2 linked regions of the Kluyveromyces lactis genome follow. Each later gene encodes a partner of the first gene's protein in a complex. Links are inferred from orthologs where the notes say so. Each region holds a gene or a part of one and is shown in the gene's direction. Other genes may lie near its edges. The genes, in order: VMA22 and VMA7.

Region 1 (10,023 bases):
GGCCGGTATCAATCCTACTTTGAATGAAATTGTTAATGTTATCAACTTTAGAATACGTTTGCTTTATGTCTTCCTTGATGGTTCGAAGTACTTCTTCTACTTGAAAGTACTCTTTATCGTCCTCACCCTCTTCATGTCCACGCTTCACAGGATACTCGAATTTGAAATCTTTATTGTGAAAAAGGGACTTCTGTTGATTTTGATAGTCCTTGAATTCAATGACATTCCCTTTTTCAACTAAGCTAACTCTTTGTGGACGTTTGATGTAATCAGGAAGAGGATACCCAAGAAGTTTAGCACATTTTTCACTTATCTTTTCAGATGTAAATTCGCCATTCAAATCACCCATCGGTTTAAAAAGTTTATCAGTTTTATTAATGGCTCTTCTTTTCAATTCAATCTCATCTAATGGCCTCCATGACAGTTCTATCTCGGAATCTGTATCGTTTTCCTTGCTATCATCATTATCAAAATCGCTATTATTCATTTCCAAATTCTGATTCTCATTGTTTTTGTTAATTGGATAAGGATACTCATTCAAATCATGTTGAGTAGTGGCCAACAAATTTTCCTTGGTATTTCTTCTTGGCATTGTAGTCTTCCTGGTTTCTTTCAACCTCTTCATCAATGCTGTGAAGTCAAAACTCTCTTTTTCGCTATCTGTCGTTGTGCTCGAATTTTCATCTAGAAACTGCCGCCCAAGAGCATGTGGCAACTTATTCGGATTTCCAAGCCTGGGTTTACTCATTGTATAGTTGATGACTTGGTTGAAATTACTCTGAACTATTGGCTATTCATAAGTTTAGTTTCAGGTTCAAGCCGTTTTGTTTTTGGACAGACATCCTTAGTGATTACGATATTGATAAAACTGACGTCTTTATTGAATATTTTGTGTCAAATTTGAAAACTCGAACAAACACAAACGCGAAAAAGCTCTCGAGAACAAACCTGTTGATGAATCTATTGGATCGATAGTGGCTTATTAACTTCCGAGTTGCTTTCAGTGTATGCGTGGAGGTTCACGGTGGCATCCATCGTGCTGCGAAACTAAAATAGATCATTCTCTCACGTGACAGTCATTTGAACTGACTTTGAAATATTTCAACTAATAATAGATTCATATGACCACCTTAGATACAAAAATAAAGGAACCTCGATTAACGTTGGAAAGTGAACTGATGCTTACCACATTCGATCCAAACAAGCTTGTTTTCATTGGCTAGAAACAATATCAATCTTTAGTGTACTTCACGGGATCCTGTTGCTAGGTAGAGATCAATCCTGGTCAGAGATTAACGATGAGTACAAACCCAGTTCGAAAAGGCAGATTTAAAGCCTATATCAAACATGATTACCAGTCATTTATCAAAGGTGATTCGCTACCATATGAAGATAGCCTCGTCTGGGACCTGGCATTGAGTGCTTTAACAGTTGGTTATCTTTCAATGGTTCATTCTGATAGATATGGCGATATTTCTACTAGTGAGTTTGAGATTTGGAATCAAATTACTGATAGAATAAAGGGTAAGTTTTTCATTGCAACCAGTGTACCAACATTAATTGAGGTGCTGGCGAAGCTTACTGATATGTACTCTTTGAATATTGAGTTCTGGAAAACAGCAAATAACGTGGTCTTGGCTAGCGTCCTGGTAACGTTATACGGTATTTTAAGGAAATCTAGCGTGTCAGTAATGATTAGCTTCCTAGTAACGATAATGTTCTCGCAGATATCAAGTTTCCAAGATTTAATTTATACGCTCAACTTTGACTCTTATCATTTGCTAGCCTTAACGTTGCTAATCTTACATTGGAGGAAATTTCAGGCCTCCAAAGACTTTTCCGTCGATTGGTACATGAATATAACACTTGTTTCGATGTCATTGATTTTCGTTATAAGTGGGAAATTCATAGGGTTGGTCTCTTGGATATGGCTCATTATAGTTTCTTTGAAATCACTTTGGATTGTTGTGGGTGATTTGGATGTTAAAAACAGACAACTTTTTGCCATTATGTTTTGTAGGTTATTGTTCTTCGTCGTTATTCCCTTGATGTCTTTATGGTACTCTTACTCATCATTAATTGGTGGTTTCACAACATCGTCAAACTCAATAGCGTACATGTCGTCATCTTTCCAGCATTATTCGATGAGCCAGCACAATGATATTCCATCTTCCATCATTTACGGCAGTTCAATTAGGCTTCGCCATGTTAATTCTTTGGGCGGATATCTATCAGCCTTAGAAATACCATACCCTAAATCTAACGACACATTGGTAACAGTTTCTGACGATCCAGATGATGAGGCTAACTTTTGGATCATTGAATCTAATAAAGGAAGAAACACTGAACAGACAGGTTCGAACGCATTAGTAAAACAAACGGACAAGGTGAAGTTGAGAAACAAGAAAACAGGTCAATTATTGAGAGCTTCTGAGGAAAAACCTCCAATATCAGACAAAGAATATGATAAGAGAATATCAGTAACGGGTGACAGTGACTATCAAGGGGATCAAGATGAATTATGGAAAATTGAAATTCAAGGGAAAGCATCATTCAGAGAAGTTTTGAGACCTTTCAAACAATTCATTGTTTTAAAGAATCCAGCTCGCCGTTGTTCGTTGCTTTCACATGAAATCAAAATTCCGCATTGGGGTGACAGGCGTCAAGAGGTTCTCTGTGTCGATCCTGCCAGAGTCAATAGAGCATTGTTTTATATTGACTTTGTCAGCTCGCCTGAGGCTGGAGTTGTTGAGAAATACAAATGGGCCCCTGAATACCCTTTCTATAAATTGGCTTTTGAGTACGTTGTTGGTCAATTCAGATTGAACAAAAGGCAAAACATCGATAATACGAGCATGTCTCCACCTGATTGCCTGTCTTGGCCGATTCTTTTCGACAATAACAACCAAATCGGTAAAATCTTATGGATAACTTCTACGGTATCTGTGGGCGTGTACACTTTCATGGAAGCATATTCCTGGTTATCTTGGAATATTTTTGAAGATACTTTACTTAATACCACTGCAAACCAATTAATGAAAAGAGAAGTCACCTTGGAGGCATTTTTAGGTTGGATCCTGCACTTATACATTTTTACTTACAGCCTGCACAGAAATCTTTCCGTTAACCAGTATATGCCCTCTCTATTATTTGCGGTGATCATTCTTTCACAGTTCTCTGTGTTATAGAACCAAGAATATCACAGCGAGCGGTGGTGGCATGACGGGGCATGCGGATGCTATGTTTAGTGATGATGTTGCGTGTCATTATAAAAATAAACGATGTCAGACAATCTGTCTGACATCGTTTCGGAGAAGAAGAAAAGGAAAAGAAGCTAAATATCTACTATATACCACTTGATACATTAGACACTATGTAAAAGTATTCTTACTCGCAATTTGACGTTAACATGTGACCCAATTTCTACCGAAGATTTCAAAATGATTCCTTTCTTATACTAAGCGTGCTTCTGTCTTCGATTCATTAATGCCAATCGTAAAGTCTTGGGTAAGTGTTCTTACTTTTTCTTGCAAAGCGTCCTTCCTTTTTATCGCGTCTATCTTTTCCTTCTCCATTTTGATCAATTGTTTCTGTAGTGAATCTATCCTATGTAGTTGCTCTTGTGCAGATACGTCTACTCCGGGTAGAGAATCTATTAGAGCCATTATCTGCCTTGTTTTAAGTATGATGTCTGTTGTCAATTCATCTATGTTCTTTTCAAATTCCTTTTCCTCAACAATGTGGGCCTGAGGATCTGACATCTGCTCTTCTGAATCGTTACTTGGTTCAAAACCATGGTTCTTATCGACATAATTTACTGCACCGCAAAATTGTTCCATCATTTGGTCCAAACATATTTGTAACTGGGTTAATCTATCGGTCATTTTTGTACACTCTTCCTTGCCTCTACTGGAGCTGGTTTGTCGCAATATTGCTAACTTTCTTTCACCTTCGAATTCGTTTATATAAATCATTGACTATGATTAAGTTACAAATATTTCAGACAACTTCAAAAGTTTGGTTTAAAACGTTTATGACTGAATAATATACGTAATATGAGAAGAAACTGCCACGATTTGGATATTAATAGACGCTAGGAAACCAATGATGACGGAGGATGACATATATCAACTCATTGTTAAGAATCTTGCAACCTATGATTCTCTATTAGAGCAGTTGCAAGCTAGTTTTGAAGAAGGTTACCATCAGTTGAGCAGAGCGAATTATCACAATAAGAACACACTTCGAGGATCATATGGTAAGGATTACTGGGACGAAACTTATACAGGAAACAGGTATATCTCCATTAATGACAAGCACTCTGTTTCGGAGACTGAAGAGCCGTTGCATATTGCCAATGACGAAGAAATCATTCCTGAGAAAGATGAAGCAACCAATGAGAATTTAAAGAAGAGAAAACAAAGAGAAAAACTATTGGCAAAGGTGAAGAAGGATCCTATATATATGTTCGGAGGTGCCCTTTCAATCCCAAGCTCTTTGAAACAATGTCAATTATCTTTCAAAGCTTCGATGCCGGTACTTTATCAACTACTAGAACTTCGACGTACTCTTAATGGTCTACTTGACGCACTAGGGACTCTGTCAAATTCAGCTTAAGAACTTTATAATTGCTATGGGAATGATCTTATATCAGAGTTAATACAAAAGAAAACTATCTGTACAATTGCTAATTTGGAAAGAACAGTTTACTGGAAACGAAAATAACGTTGGATGGCGCCAATTGAAAGACGTACAATGAGTGTATATCTGTACACATGCAGATTGGGGATTAATTATTAATAAATGAACGACGAAGGGTTAATCTGTATCAAAAAGAGAGCTGATTTCAGTAAATGCAATAACGAGTGAAAGATGGGTATATTTTCTTGAGAACAATTGTGAAAGTGAATGGAATGGCCCTGGCCACGGGTGAAGATCATAGAATAGATTTATAGTAAATGTTTGAATTTCTAGCGTAGGAAAACTCACTAGAGCTTTCATCCAATGACGATCCAGCATCACTAGGCTGTAGATAGCATAATAAAACATCATCAACTGACCTTCTGGTTCTTGGAGAGTCTAAGTATTCTGATGGCCTTAAAATTGGTGTCAGAATTGGATCAGAGTTTCTTTTCAATGAGTGCTTTGGTGTAATTGATTTTTTTGGTACTGATTTCAAGTCATCCAAAAGCATAGTCTCTAAAAGATCCGCAGAATTTACTGGTGTTTCCCATTGGAATTTGTCTATTTTCTTGTCTCCCGTTTCAGGTGTTGATACCTGGAGGATTGATTGTTCTTCTAGCAAAGTTGGGAACTGATAGTTTTTTAGGAAATCGACATCTACTTCACTGGCATCTGATTGAGAATATTTATGCTTCAAATGTGTCTTCTCTAGGGTAGTTAATTTTGAAATGGAACGCATATGCGAATCGTTTAGCAAGGAGGTAGCCATTGTTGAAGTTGATGTCACTCTTTGGTTCGAGTACGTACTGGATCCAACCGAAGAACGTTTTGTAGATGACCCTCTAGAAACCAGATGGTGTTTAGCATATGGAATTGCATCTGTTACGAAAGCTTTAGTCATTTGCGTTGGGGAATTGATTGTTGAGTTTGTCGGAAATTTGGTATTTTCCGGTATATCCTGTAAGTGACTGTTAGATGGTGGTGGTGAATCTGCAGTAGGCATTTCAAATCCTGCCTTAGAATCTGCATGTGAGATGTGATTAAATCCAAATGGGACAGAAATTTTTAACTTAGGAGGTTCTTCTTTACTTGATTTATTTTGAAACAGTTTTAAGAGGCTGTTCTTCTTCTTCTTGAAAGATTTCTTTCCAGATTGTTTATCATACGCATTTGGCGGCAATGGAGGAAGATTAATGTTTTTCCTATTACTTAAGACAGGTTTATCACTATTGATCATTACAACGCCCAATTCATCATCATCGTCAGAATCCAGAAGCTGGTGAGCTTGTAAACCATATAATTTTTCTGTTTCATCGTCTTCATCGAGCCAGATCGACTTGATCTGAGGTACGTTCATCATAAGTATTGGCCCAGATCTGTTGGTTGTTTTATTCGGCAATGCCTGGTTTCTGATGATTCAAATCATGGCCTTTGTACCCTGGATCATGTTTATCCGTTTATATATACATATATCGGCCGCGTCCACAGTGGTAATGTTTCATGCATTCCTAGGTTTCACAATTTTCTGACATTTTTCGCATCTATGGTTAACTACTACTGGATTCAGTTAATTTAGGAATTCCTATATTAGGTAAAAACACGATTTTTCATTTTCGCACCCTCTTCAGGAATGCAGATACGTTTCGTTGATCGAAAATTAATGTTTTCTAACCTCTCTAATTCACCATCGCCAATCCGGTTTTTTCTTTTTTCTTGGGTTTCATGTCTTCTTTTTTTCTTTTGGCGGCCGTTATTTTTTCTCAAGTTTCTACGGCTTTTTTTCGTGGGTTAGATAAGTCATTAGTTGACCCAACATGGTTACCAATTACGACTATTTCACATTTTTACTCCATAGACTTTCTAGACTCTTAGAACTGGCGGTTCTAGGTTCCTCGGACTCTTTGGAAAAGCTTGGTTGGGGTGTGTATTCATCGGAAATGCTCAAACTATTGAAAGAAATTTCAATGAACTCAGAAAAGTCTTTCACTATCGCATTATTCTCGGAGTCATCTGCTGAAATCGATGTCGGGGTGAGATTTACGCTCAATTTTCGTCTGTTGGTTGAATCCATTCTCGGTATCACTGGCCTAGTACCTGCTCTATAATCTCTCTCCATTGCAAAATTCATATATTTGATTTTATCCAATTCTTGGTTCGATAACGGTTCTGTAACAAAAGCCCTAGAGCGCTTGGAAAGGAATGTACTATTATTCGTTCTTGCAATATCAGGTGTCGTTGGACGACCAGCCAATAAGTTTTTAATGTCATCGCATTCGCTCAAGGACTTCTCTATACGTTGTTCCCAATTTTCTTTCCGTTTATCCTTCAAACTGCTTCTTTTAAGAATGGAAGAGCGTCTCCATTTTCGTAAGTAACTCTTCACCTCGCCCATTTTAACTTTGTGTGGCACTTGTTTTCCCAAGTTACTGCCTTACGTACTGTCTGTGTTTTTTATATAATAGACCGTTTCTATGTAAGGCGGTTTATGATTCGAAGAAGAAAATCGTAAAGTCTCCAAGCTGGATACTTTTATACTCTTTTCAATAGCCGCTGAGCTTTTGATCGGATTTACACCATGTATGTGTTGCGGGTAACAGTAACCTGCTCTTTTTACAGATATTAGAATGAAAAATAACTTTGGGTTTAGAACTTGATAGTAAGTTTGACTTTGGAAACTAAACGTAAAATTGGACATGTTAAAGATGAACTCAAAGTGGATTGAAATCACCGATATCATTACTCTTACCCATAATTTCCTAAATTTACCTTGTATCCATCTTTTGCTTAATGCTTATTGTACTATTTTCCTTATATAAATATAAAATCTATTATATATCGTATTATCGGTACTATTGAATGCTTCGAGAGATTCAACAGTAGAAGTGCAGTATGAAAATTAAGTTCATGGTAATTCAGCTTTTTGTTCTTTTCGAGTCATCACTTTCCAGTGTATCTGGGTTTTTCCTTTTGACTATTTTGAACGATGAATTCTGTGTAAAATCTTCATTGACTACATCTTCGTTACCAATACAAATGACTTGCTTATAGCTCTTATTTCTTAATCTACCATTTAGAAGTACCAAACTAGCAAGCTCGCCCATGGATTTACGAGATTTGTCATTCGGAAGCCCAATAAAGTTCAAAATGCTTGTAACTCCAATGACATTACGACATTCTAGTGGGCTGGTTGCTCCACTACTGACCACGATTCCTCTGTTCCTGCAAGTTCTGATCACACTCTTCACGTTAGATACGAACTGCCTACGTGTTCTGATATCTCGAAGAGCGTTAGCATAAACAATTTCTACTTTGACTCCTCTCTTAATGCAACCCCCCATCATGTGATGTTTCAAAAGTGTAGGAAGCCTTTTGTCGTAGTAAAATGATAGCACATCAACATCCAAGCTAGACGTTACGAGAGTAACAGCCTTTTCACTGACTGGAAGGGCTGCCACAATATCGAAAGCTTGCGATATCTTTGTCAACGGCTGGCCTTTTGAAAGGTCATCTATAATAATTGTGATTCTTGTATATAGCTTTAATCCCGTAGATTTCACTAGTTCATCAAAATGCGATAGATCGATAGGATTCATATCATTGATTGATTTTGGGAATTTATCCTGTTGGTTTACTGTGAAATTTAAAGCTATGTGAGTGTACCCTAGTGTATGCAATGTCGCTAGAGTCTTGTGCAGCGTTTTAATCTCCTTCGTGGAAGGCGGTGTTGCAAAATCCTTCTGTGGCCAAGGAACGTTTAAATCAACTAACATCCTTTCAAATAGCTATTTTGCTTTGCAAATTTGGAAGGAGTATTTACAAGTGATTCAACAGAAACTTTTGTTTCCATTTGAGTGTCCAGCATACCTCATCTCATGCTCATGTTTCATTATTTACTAGATTTTTTTTTTGGTAGATTATTGTAATGTCTTTTCCGAAAAAATTATACTTGAAGATATTATAACATACTATGAAGTACAATCCTTACTTGAAAGCCCAACTGTTGAAAAATACAACTTTAAACTTCATCCAATCGGCCATGTCACAATGTTTTTGAGTATGAGAACAATATTATCTAAATAGAATAATTGTCAGTTTATTTATAGAGTACATACCTTACTATTTGTTCCATAAAGTGATAAAATGTCCGTTAAAATAGGTTTGATGAAAAACAGCGCCCAAAAAGGAACCATTATGATCTATGTGCATAAATATCATTGCGTAGAGTTCACATCTTCTGAATCTTTCGGTAAAGAAGGTAAGTGCTGATCTTGATTTACAGCTACCGCCCCAGTAGCATGGTTTGTATTTTCTTCAGTTCTATTTCCAGCCAGTTCCGGAACTGGGGTTTCTGACTGTTGTTGGACATGCTCAGTGTGTAATTCCTTTGTTCCCTTGTCTGCGGGAACATCATTCGTAACATAAGGCTGTTCTAGAGGGCCTTCACTGTTTTCTTTGTATGGAATAGAACTTGATTTCTTGTTTGAATTTTTGCTACCATCTTCTAGGAAATCAAGAACCAAAATATTATCGATTTCTCTATTAATATTCATGACATCGACGCCATTTTTACCAACAAGCGGTAGTTCAGTGCCTCTGGCGAACATCCATTCTCTCCAATGAGTATTCGTATTATCACATAAATCAAAAAGAATCATTTTTAAAAGGGTAATGTGGTTGTAAAACCATGAAACCGACCTATTGATGAAGACTCTGTAATTTTCCATTTCTTTGATTGCATGCAACAATGTATAATTGTGGAAACCTCTCTTATCTTTCGACTTGTCTCTCCAAAACTCAAATAATGCAAATAAGGCTTTCCGTCTTTGCCAAGTTCTCTTAGATTCTCTTAGCTTTAGACCTAAACTTACCAATCTATTCTCCCAACGGAATTCCATCAGGAAATATTCTAATGAATTGACGTATCTCTCGGTTAATATGACATTGGACAAAACTTGACAAGCCATTGAGGTTTCAATCTCAACGTCTGGTTTAAGGAAATACGCGTTGATTCTATCCTGTCTTGTTAACTCGGCGTAATCTTCTTCATGCATTGTTAATTTAATCAATTCGTCTTCTTTGTGTCTGAACTTCAAATCCAAATACTCTCCCGCTGTGATTGGAATTGTAGAACCTTTTCTATAAAAAAAACCTTCACGGCAGTAAAGTTCCACAGGGGATGACATTAACAAAGACGCTGCATTTTCTTGGGATTGATTGTTAGAGCTTGGTCTTCCCCTTTTATCTTTCTTTTCTGGTAACATCGGAATCATCCTGCTCATCTTTCGACGATCATGCAATGTTAGATGCCTTTTCTTATTTGGTGATTCACCACCAGATTGT
Region 2 (10,042 bases), on another chromosome or scaffold:
GCCACATGCTGCAGCAACGATACAACCAACCAACAAACCAAGGATGACAGCACATGATTTCATGATTGGAGCACCGTACTTCTCAAAGATGATAATAGTGGAAAACACCAAGAAACCCAAACCGACGAAACGGGCAGACCCCCAGTCACCTGCCATGGGAGCACCTTCTGAGGGACAAATGGCACCAACACATCCTGAACCACCGGCCCAGTCGCTGAACCCTGATTTGATAAGACTGAAAGCGATACAAAGAATGACGGGACCTGTGACAATCTTTGGAAACAAGCTTTGTAAAATATTAGCCGGAGTGAAGGACATAGCAACTTCGAGCAAACCACAAACACAGGCGGTACCCAAGATAGCACCATAGCCATCAGGACAAGCTAATTGCGTGCCATCTTCGGACACTGGGCAAAATCCTGTATCATACATCATGGGGAAAACATTTCCGACCAAAGTAATACTAGCGAATGAAGTACCTAGCACAGAAATAAGACCAGAACCCACGTAGTATGAAGTAAATGGGATAGGGACTCTTGTAATTTGTATGGCTGACATGAGACTAGAAACGATCAACGAAGCTGAAACCAAATATTCTTGAACACTCTGATCGAGGTTTATCATTGTTGATATCAAAATTGGAGGCGAAATGACACCAGCCAACATAGACAACGAGTGTTGCAACCCAAGAATCATACCTAGTACAACGGGAACGTCAGCATTAAGTGAGAAAAACGGTTGATCTCTATGAACAAGTTCGACACCTCTTTTCCTTGCTAAATACTCTTGGAATGGATACGAAGGAGTGAAAAGGAAAGCGTAATCATAGTCACCTAGAAGACCATCCTTGGTAGTCCATTTTCTAACCACTTTTTTCACAACATCCTTCACAGGTGCTCTTTTCACATTGTCCTGCTCTACAGCATCGGCCAAAACTTGATCCATCTTTGGGGTTATAATATATCAAACTGTTTGGTTACAGAAGCCTTACTTCCTTCTAGAATTCCCACTTGATTCAAACTGAATACTCTTACTGTTATACGAGATCACAAAACAGAAAGGGACCATTATTCTGTCAAACTTCTCCATATATGTATGTGAGTGCAGATCTGCTGTTTTGTAGTTGTAATGTTTCTATATCTTTTAACTTTCCTGGGAAACTATCTTTTCTGATTTCATTAGTTAAATCCTTATCTAAGTGATTCGCAGGACTCCGAAGCAAAAATAAGGGAAATGTTCGTGGTTTAGACAAAGGAAATGCTAGTCAATATGTGAAAAGAAAAGAGAATTTCCGAGTACACATTTACAAGCACTATCAGCCACCTCTTTTAATTCTTTGCAGATATCGCTAAAACGTCTATCGGTCAACTACTCAAATTGATTTGATCAACATAACTTTCGATTTTCAAAAATAAGCATAATATTTCTTCCTTTCCTATAGGTTTTCTCCGTCACAGTCAAAAAGGTAACGTTATAACTCTGACAAGAATCTGCAAGCTAATTGCAATCAGGAATTTCGACATGAGAAACCAAAAAAAGAAGGTGGAACTGTCGGTTTTTGCTATGCCTCATCGCATTGCAGTTCACCTTTAGCTCCAAGTGCTAATGAATTTCTTCATTTTTCTTTTTTTTTTAGCGCCTGTTATGCGTGTCTCTTGATCCGTCTCTAAGCAGTGAGAAGGATCCAACCATTGGGTAGTAGTTTGAATAAGTCAGTCAGGTGTTTGATAAACTTCTTTACTGGTCAATTTTCAATACAAACTAGATCTTAGTTAAGCATTTGTAAATAAGGCAGCTAAGCTGCTTAAAGTGAATGTTTTTCTGATAGTTTTCACTGCATAGTGCGGGGACTCACAAAGTGAAAACAAAAATTAACTACTGGGTAGTAAACTGACGTGTGGTTGCAGATAACGATTGAACGATGGTTATGACCGTTATCCAGTCTGAACCGTCTCCTCAGTATACAATCCACATTCTGATAAGAGATAATCATGAAGAGAAAGGGCGCATCCTCACTATCTTTTCCTGGAGAGGTGTTCCTTTCATGTTTTTTTTTTGTTTTTACCCTGGAAGAATGACTTTTTACTACGTTGATTTCTGTGTTCGAGGTGCGGCCATCCCCGTGTCTGAGAATTCAAGATGTCTATCGGCCTTGATGATAAACATATTCGACATGAGACCTATGGCAGACGTAAATGTGCACAACTTTGCAAGTGTAGGGAAAGCTCTTGATTAAATAAAGATATTTACATGAAAGTTAAGCGAAGTGAAGTAATTTGACAGAAGGTGTTTGTCTTGTTGTTATTCTTATTCTTTGATGTTGGAATAGATCTGCGTAACATCGTCGATTTCTTCTAATTGATTGATGAATTTCTCTAGCTTTGCATGTAATTCAGTGTCAGTGACGGGACTCATCGCTGTCTCTTCACGAGGAACATACTCCACTCCCATTTCTCTGATATGGAACCCTTGATTCCTCAACGTTTCAGCCACTTTGTTAGTCTGTTGAGCCTCTGTGATAACTTCGAATAGTGCGCTAGCATCATTACCGCTTGAATTCTCATCTTGCGATGATAGTGGTTCGCTTTCCCCAGTAGTATCTTCGCTGTTTGGAGTATCCTGTTCTAAATCTTCCACTCCATCTATTTCCAACACTATGTCCATCACTGAGTCGAAATCTCTGGGTTGATCTTCTTTAGGTTCAATGACAACGTACCCTTTCCTTTCAAAGAAGTATAAGGTCGGTGTCATGTTTCCATTGAATTTATTGAATGTAGATCTGATTAATCCCACGGTTCTGTTCTTGTTGTCCGTAAGTGCTTCAACGACAAATGCAACCCCAGCTGGACCTATTCCCTCGTATGTACATGGCTCTGCACCAGCGCTTGCGCCATCATTGGTACCTGAACCCTTTTTGATCGCATTTTCAATGACTTTCTTCGTCACATTGTTCTTATTAGCCAATTCAATGGCAGTTGCAAGTCTGATATTCATAGCAGGATCCGCAGATCCACCCAGTTTCACGGCGACAGAAATCTGATTAGCAATCTTATTGTATATCTTGGTTCTTTCAGCGTCGTTTTTGGCCTTTGTATGCTTGATGTTAGCCCATTTACTATGTCCGGCATTGACGACTCTGGTCCCGTGCAAAAACCTTCTGCTGAAGACACTCCCACTACCTAAACTTCTTGAAGCACTTATCTTTAACATGATTCACTTGATGTTTGATGCAATTTAAGCGGGTTAAGGTTCGATAGATGTAATACGATGATCACTTCCCGTTCCATTGGGGAATGTCGTTAAATCCATTTTTAAACTAAGGTCATCTCGACTACGTTTTTTTCACTTTTTCACTTCCCATAAATGTTGATACATAGTGAGATAAAGGTACTGTGGTCAAAAAGTGAGTTGTATACTTTCCTTAATCTGTTCTGCAGGCGGTGAAGAGGTGGAAAGATCTCCATAGAAGCCTACAATGGAAATATTGCTTCATACAGCATATTCCCATGATCAATTGGTAAATAAACGGAAAGGCCGGGTAATGTTTTCTTTTCATGTCTCCCCTTTCAATACGATTTCTTTTAATGAATATATCAATTGAAACATTACACCGAAACGAATTATTGGAAACTAGTATTTCATGATAACTTAGACAACTTTTCTCTGCTTGAAAGAATCCGAGCTGATCATATCAAATTAATTAGCACTCTTCGCTTTGGAAATATTTTCAGGGTTGGCAATCTGTGTTAGGAGTTAAGCCAATTGTATTTGGTATAGAAATATAAAGAGGAAGCATGGCTGACGAAAGGAATCTTATTGCAGTTATTGCAGATGAAGATACAACTACGGGACTCCTTCTAGCTGGTATAGGTCAAGTCTCTAAAGAATCGAAGGAGAAGAACTTTGTGGTTTACAACGAGGGTAAGACTACAAAGTTGGAATTATCTGATGCATTTGTCAAATTCACAGAAACAAGGCCGGATATTGCCATCTTGTTGATCAACCAGCACATTGCTGACCAAATAAGGCCACTTGTTGATGGTTACACGAATGCATTCCCAGCTATTCTAGAAATTCCATCGAAAGATCATCCTTATGATCCAGAGAAGGATTCCGTGTTGAGAAGAGTCAGAAGACTATTTGGGGAGTAAGGGTGTTTATTGCACCAAATGAGTAAGTACCGATGTATAAACTTTATAAATCTTGAAATACAAGAAACCAAAATCAAAGCATTAAATGTAAAATTGTTTATTAGTACATACAGATTGCAGATATTATACTGAAAGGATTGACAAATTTCATTTCTTGCCCTTCTTCTTCTTCTTATTCTTCTTCTTTGTATTCGTATTGTTTGCACCGGTTTGTGATTCTTTTGTGACATCTACAGCCTCTGGAGATGTTTCCTCTGTTTGTGGTTGTGTGAGATCAGCTTCTGTTTCACCGGCTTCTAGCGGAGTTGGTGCGGTTTCTTCAATTGTCTCGTTTGCTGTATTGTCTATTATTTCTGTTGGTTGCTCTTCTGCCGGGACTTCTACAGGAACTTCTTCTACGGATGCTTCGACATTGATCTCTTCTCCGACGGTAGGAGCTTCGGATGCTGGAGCTTCTTCTTCTTCTTCTTGTTTCAGCACTTGTGGCTGATCAGTTGGCGGTGTTGCCGCTTCTGGTTCTTCATGTGAAGATAGTGTCTCTGGCTCTTCTTCTACCTTTTTGGATGCTTCTTGTGCTTCTTGTGGAGGTGTTACCTCTGAGACAGCTGGTTCTGTTTCTTCTGGGACAACTGACTCTGGTTCTTCTTGGACAGCTGGTTCTGTTTCTTCTTGGACGATCAGTTCTGTTTCTTCTTGAACGACCGGTGCATTTTCTTCTGGAGCTGGTTGTGTTTCTTCTGGAACAATTGGTTCAACTACTTCTACTTCTTTTGCAGTCGTTTCTGTCCCATCTGGAGATGTCGCCTGTTCTGGCTCCCTCTCTGGTGCAGTTTCCTTCAAGGCATCACCTGACGAAGGTGCAGCTGCTGTGAACTTGTAATTTAAGAAATTGGATGGATCTGAATCCAGGTAGAAATCTCTGACACCCACGATTCGTTTTTCCAGTTCACAGGCCCTAATCCATTCAGGTCTGACAATTGGTATATTGTTATCTCTAGCATGAGCCAATTCCTCATCGGAAGTAACGCCTTCGCTATCTTCGAACTCTGTTGCAATGAAATGTGTAGTCTCTAAAGTGACATGATCTTGTAAAGGTTTGGCACCGATATTTTGCAACGATCTTTTGATTTGATCAAGTGAAATGTTATCCCCCAGCTTGGTGTTAGGTCCTACACATGCAGTAATACCGGACATATCAGTCATCTTGTGGGTATGCACCTTCAAAGTATTGGACCAGAATTTTCCTGAAGTGGTATTCAAGAGTAACTTGAACTCGTATTCGAAGTCTACCGAGAGACCAGAAATCTTAAGGCTGTTGTTATCAGTAGTTCCATCCCGGTTTGATCCTGGAGTGATTACTTGGTGCCTATTTCCTTGCTTGTACAAGATTAGCGATTTCAATTGAGACGAACCCAGATGGATTGGGTCCCAATGGATAACGCAACTTGTTTGAGTAGCATTCGAGAGATGTAAAACGGGCTCTGCTGGAGGATCGGTACCATACTTGGCGAGAATTTGTTCTTGCACACTTTGAAACTTCTTTTTCTGTTTAATCTCTTGTTCTAAGTCTTGTTCAACAGTAATGGTAACGACAGACCCTGCTTCCACTGATTCTGGTAATAAAACGGTAGGAAATTCGATAACGTAGTGGTCTGCAGTCGTGAGAATGGCGAGCGACGCGTCGACTTTCCCGACGGTGAGCGATACTTCGACCATAATTGCTAATTGAGGGGTCTAGTGCGCGTTAAGCCTGTGTAATTGTGCACTATTTTCCCTTTGACAATCTGTTGTTGTGTATATTCCATAGATTCGAACTTGTATATGTGTGCTAAAATCAAATCTGATATATAAAAATAACGAAACAGGAAGAAAAGTGGGCAATTCTTAGGGGCGTGTTACCCGGGGTATAGTTTTTTCCTTCCTTGGACCCAAGTATGTATTACCCGCATTTTGATATATTTTGAAACCAATATCAAATTAAAGTCACGTGAGAAAGTGGACGGTACACTCACGTGACATTGATTACTCATCGGTCTGTAATTTTGACGCCCAAAACTCCGGCTCCGATAGGAATGATCGCACGCATCGCGTACAACTCGAATCCAGGAATCAAGGTTTGTAGAAAAACACACACACGCGTCTGCACCTGCCTTTTCCACCCCGGGTAATACACTTTGGTTACCCGTCCTCCTCGAAATGTCCCCTTAGACCGAGAACGGGACCCGTTACCGCCAATCCGTGATCACGAAACAGTAAAAACTCTCAGAACCGCCCGCAACACCTCTGTTTCTCGGAACAAATCGGAGCTATTTCCCCTTCCCCTACAGAATCCTCCATCCTGGTCTCTCCGTTGAATGAAACAGAGGAAAAAAATGCCTAACGGGTTCGTCAGCAACAGCGGTACACCACATACCGGACAGCGACTAACTCTTCCATTCGGTCAGTCATTTTTCAAATCTGTGCGATTCCATTTCCCTTCAGACGTTAATTATGTATTTGGCTTTGGTTTTTCCTGTTTTTTTTAGTTCTTTGAGTGTTTAAAACTGAACAGAAATTGTCGTATTATTATTTATTTCGGTTTGCATAAATATTTCAATACATATATATATATATTACATATATAGCTATATATATAATGTTCAACATAAGACAACTTTTTCTCCTTTAATACTAAACTGCTAGAGGATCGTAATTTTTTTTTCCAAGACGACAGATAAATTCTTTTCATTCCCACTTCCGGATCCCCTGAATTATTCTTCTTGCCAGGTGACTTTCTGCTTTTGACCTTTAAAAACGGACGTCTCAAAAACCGAAGCCGAAACCGAGACCGAAACGGAGTATTTATTATACTAGGAAGGTAGTAAAAGTAATACGGAATTGGAACTGGAATCAACAGCGAAGAATTTTTTTTGCAAATATTCATCATTACACTATACACATATGCTTAGAACAGTAAGAGGAAGGAGAGTTGGCCTTGCTCAGGCCAATTTCAAATCATTGGTGCAAGCCAGAAAGTTTAGCTCTCAAATGGTTTTGAGACAAACGATTTCGGCCAATGGTGACATCAATGGACAGCAGCAAGAGGCTGGGTCATCTTCCAGCCATGGATATAACATCATCGATCATGAATACGACTGTGTCGTTGTTGGTGCTGGTGGTGCTGGTTTACGTGCTGCTTTTGGTCTTGCAGAGGCTGGATACAAAACTGCATGTATTTCTAAGTTGTTCCCTACTAGATCTCATACCGTTGCTGCGCAAGGTGGGATCAACGCTGCGTTGGGTAACATGCATAAAGATGATTGGAAATGGCATATGTACGATACCGTGAAGGGTTCGGATTGGTTAGGTGACCAAGATTCGATTCATTACATGACTCGTGAGGCTCCAAAATCTATTATCGAATTGGAACATTTCGGTGTACCATTCTCAAGAACCGAAGAGGGTAGAATTTACCAAAGAGCCTTTGGTGGTCAATCCAAAGAATATGGTAAAGGTGGTCAAGCTTACAGAACTTGTGCCGTCGCTGATCGTACCGGTCACGCTTTACTACATACTTTGTATGGTCAAGCTTTAAGACACAACACCCATTTCTTTATTGAATTCTTCGCTATGGATCTTTTGACCCATAACGGTGAAGTCGTTGGTGTTATGGCTTACAACCAAGAAGACGGTACCATCCACAGATTCCGTGCTCACAAGACCATTATCGCTACTGGTGGGTACGGTCGTGCCTACTTCTCTTGTACATCTGCTCATACTTGTACAGGTGATGGTTATGCTATGGTTTCTCGTGCTGGTTTCCCATTGCAAGATTTGGAATTTATTCAATTCCATCCTTCCGGTATCTACGGTTCCGGTTGTTTGATCACTGAAGGTGCTCGTGGTGAGGGTGGTTTCTTGGTTAACTCTGAAGGTGAACGTTTCATGGAACGTTATGCTCCAACTGCTAAGGATTTAGCTTGTAGAGACGTTGTTTCTCGTGCCATCACCATGGAAATCAGAGAAGGTAGAGGTGTTGGTCCAGAAAAGGATCACATGTTCTTGCAATTGAACCATTTGCCACCTTCTGTGCTTCATGAACGTTTGCCAGGTATCTCTGAAACTGCAGCCATTTTCGCCGGTGTCGATGTCACTAAGGAACCAATTCCTATCTTACCTACTGTCCATTATAACATGGGTGGTATTCCAACTAAGTGGAACGGTGAAGCTTTGACTATCGATGAAGAAACCGGTGAAGATGTTCTCATCCCAGGTCTACTTGCCTGTGGTGAAGCAGCTTGTGTCTCTGTTCACGGTGCTAACAGATTGGGTGCTAATTCCTTGTTAGATTTGGTCGTGTTCGGTCGTGCTGTCGCTCATACTATCGCTGACACTTTGCAACCAGGTTTACCTCATAAGCCATTGCCAGCTGATTTGGGTAAGGAATCTATCGCTAACTTGGACAAGTTGAGAAATGCTACCGGTCACAGACCAACCGCTGATATCAGATTGGCCATGCAAAAGACCATGCAAAAGGATGTTTCTGTGTTCAGAACTCAAGCATCCCTAGATGAAGGTGTCAAGAACATTAACGCTGTTGATAAGACTTTCGTCGATGTTGGAACAACAGACAGATCCATGATCTGGAACTCCGATTTAGTCGAAACTCTAGAGCTACAAAACTTGTTGACCTGTGCTACTCAAACCGCTAAGTCTGCTGCTGAAAGAAAGGAATCTCGTGGTGCTCACGCTAGAGAAGATTATCCTGAAAGAGATGACGTTCACTGGATGAAACATACCCTATCATGGCAACGTGATACCGGTGACGATGTCGTCTTGAAATACAGAAAGGTCATCGCCACCACCTTGGATGAAAAGGAATGTCCTCCAGTCCCACCAACTGTTAGAGCTTATTAAGCAGTTTAATTGTGTCCTTTTTTCTATCAAATATTGGGATGTACAAAGGATGGGTAAATGCTTATTACTATTCTTCATCGGTCTCCCCCCCCCCCTAATCTTTCTTTTTTATAGTTATGATAGGAGGTGTGGTTGATTGTTGTCGTTGTTTTTATCCTATCATTTGTTTTCAGTTTCTTTTAACCGCACCATAGTTCTGTGATGGATCATCGTCATATTTTCTCTACATGCTTTAATGAACCAGCGAAGAAATACCTTCAAAACTCTAATCCTTTTCAAATGAAAAACACTTAAAAAGACTCTATTCATTGATTCGAATAAGCTAGACTGCACTATTATCGTTTGTTGTGCATGGAAAGAAAAGCTTCAAAATTCAAAATCACTCTTACTCTTTCCAATTTGTTTATTTCCCCTTTACTTTTCTTTTCCGCTAATCTTGCACATATTGATGCTTGCATTTCATACCACTCTGGCGAAATTATTACATTTTATTTATTGTAGATGTATAGCCTGTTGATGTTTCTATTTATTTATTTCCACGTTCTGTTGGTGGTAAAAATACCTACAGAATGTGCTTTAAACTTATGATCTCAAAATTATATTCAAATAAAACCTTTGTATACTACATTCCATCTCTTGCCCAACAAAAAAATGACAATTTGTCTAATCTCCACATTCTAAGTAGTTTCCCCAGCTGTGTCTCCTAATTGATTGACAGACGTGTCTTCTTATCGTCTTGAGTCTTCCACTGGCATCTAATGCAAAATGAAATGAAATGACAATTTAATGAGCGATTGTAATGAAAAATCCCAGCTTTGTTTGGCTTTAGAGATGGTTTTGATGACGAACAAGGTAAAAAAAAAAAGAATGATCCATCGGCTCCACTAACTGTGGCGTGTAATACAATTCCAAATCATATCAACTAATGAAGAGGTTGCAGGTTGCTATACAAGGTTGTGCTCATGGTCAATTACAACATATTTACGATTCTTTGA

What was found.
Region 2: the proteins of VMA22 (region 1) and VMA7 are in contact, whole or in part, in a cryo-EM structure (PDB 8EAS), measured with the Saccharomyces cerevisiae proteins. The link is inferred for Kluyveromyces lactis from reciprocal best matches to the Saccharomyces cerevisiae genes VMA22 and VMA7. Residues at the interface, in NP_011927.1 of Saccharomyces cerevisiae: Tyr17, Leu20, Leu24, Tyr27, Leu31, Leu34, Gln35, Phe38, Tyr42, Leu45, Ser46, Tyr60, Gly61, Glu62, Trp65, Asp66, Glu67, Thr68, Tyr69, Ile70, Gly71, Gln72, Leu73, Met74, Ala75, Val77, Val86, Ile88, Lys92, Pro132; in NP_011534.1 of Saccharomyces cerevisiae: Glu3, Arg5, Thr6, Ile8, Glu14, Asp15, Thr16, Thr17, Thr18, Gly19, Leu20, Leu21, Leu22, Ala23, Gly24, Ile25, Gly26, Gln27, Ile28, Thr29, Pro30, Lys35, Val39, Gln41, Ala65, Ile66, Leu68, Asn70, Ala90, Ile91.

Annotation. Positions count from the first base shown.
Region 1 is NC_006039.1:1,285,878-1,295,900, reverse strand, and holds VMA22 (Vma22p), read left to right. Parts: upstream 1-4,104; coding exon 4,105-4,617; downstream 4,618-10,023. Other genes in the region: KLLA0_C14850g (uncharacterized protein), read right to left, coding at 1-748; PMT7 (putative dolichyl-phosphate-mannose--protein mannosyltransferase), read left to right, coding at 1,299-3,188; SRB7 (Srb7p), read right to left, coding at 3,453-3,884; GIC2 (Gic2p), read right to left, coding at 4,937-6,043; KLLA0_C14740g (uncharacterized protein), read right to left, coding at 6,515-7,075; RNA-binding RNA processing protein RPP1, read right to left, coding at 7,596-8,453; SUM1 (Sum1p), read right to left, coding at 8,895-10,023. UniProt on the Saccharomyces cerevisiae protein: Required for V-ATPase activity.
Region 2 is NC_006040.1:370,333-380,374, forward strand, and holds VMA7 (H(+)-transporting V1 sector ATPase subunit F), read left to right. Parts: upstream 1-3,794; coding exon 3,795-4,151; downstream 4,152-10,042. Other genes in the region: KLLA0_D04356g (nucleobase:cation symporter-2 family protein), read right to left, coding at 1-945; post-initiation translation factor DPC29, read right to left, coding at 2,308-3,210; CHS5 (Chs5p), read right to left, coding at 4,299-5,867; succinate dehydrogenase flavoprotein subunit SDH1, read left to right, coding at 7,092-9,047; DBR1 (RNA lariat debranching enzyme), read left to right, coding at 9,973-10,042. UniProt on the Saccharomyces cerevisiae protein: Subunit of the V1 complex of vacuolar(H+)-ATPase (V-ATPase), a multisubunit enzyme composed of a peripheral complex (V1) that hydrolyzes ATP and a membrane integral complex (V0) that translocates protons.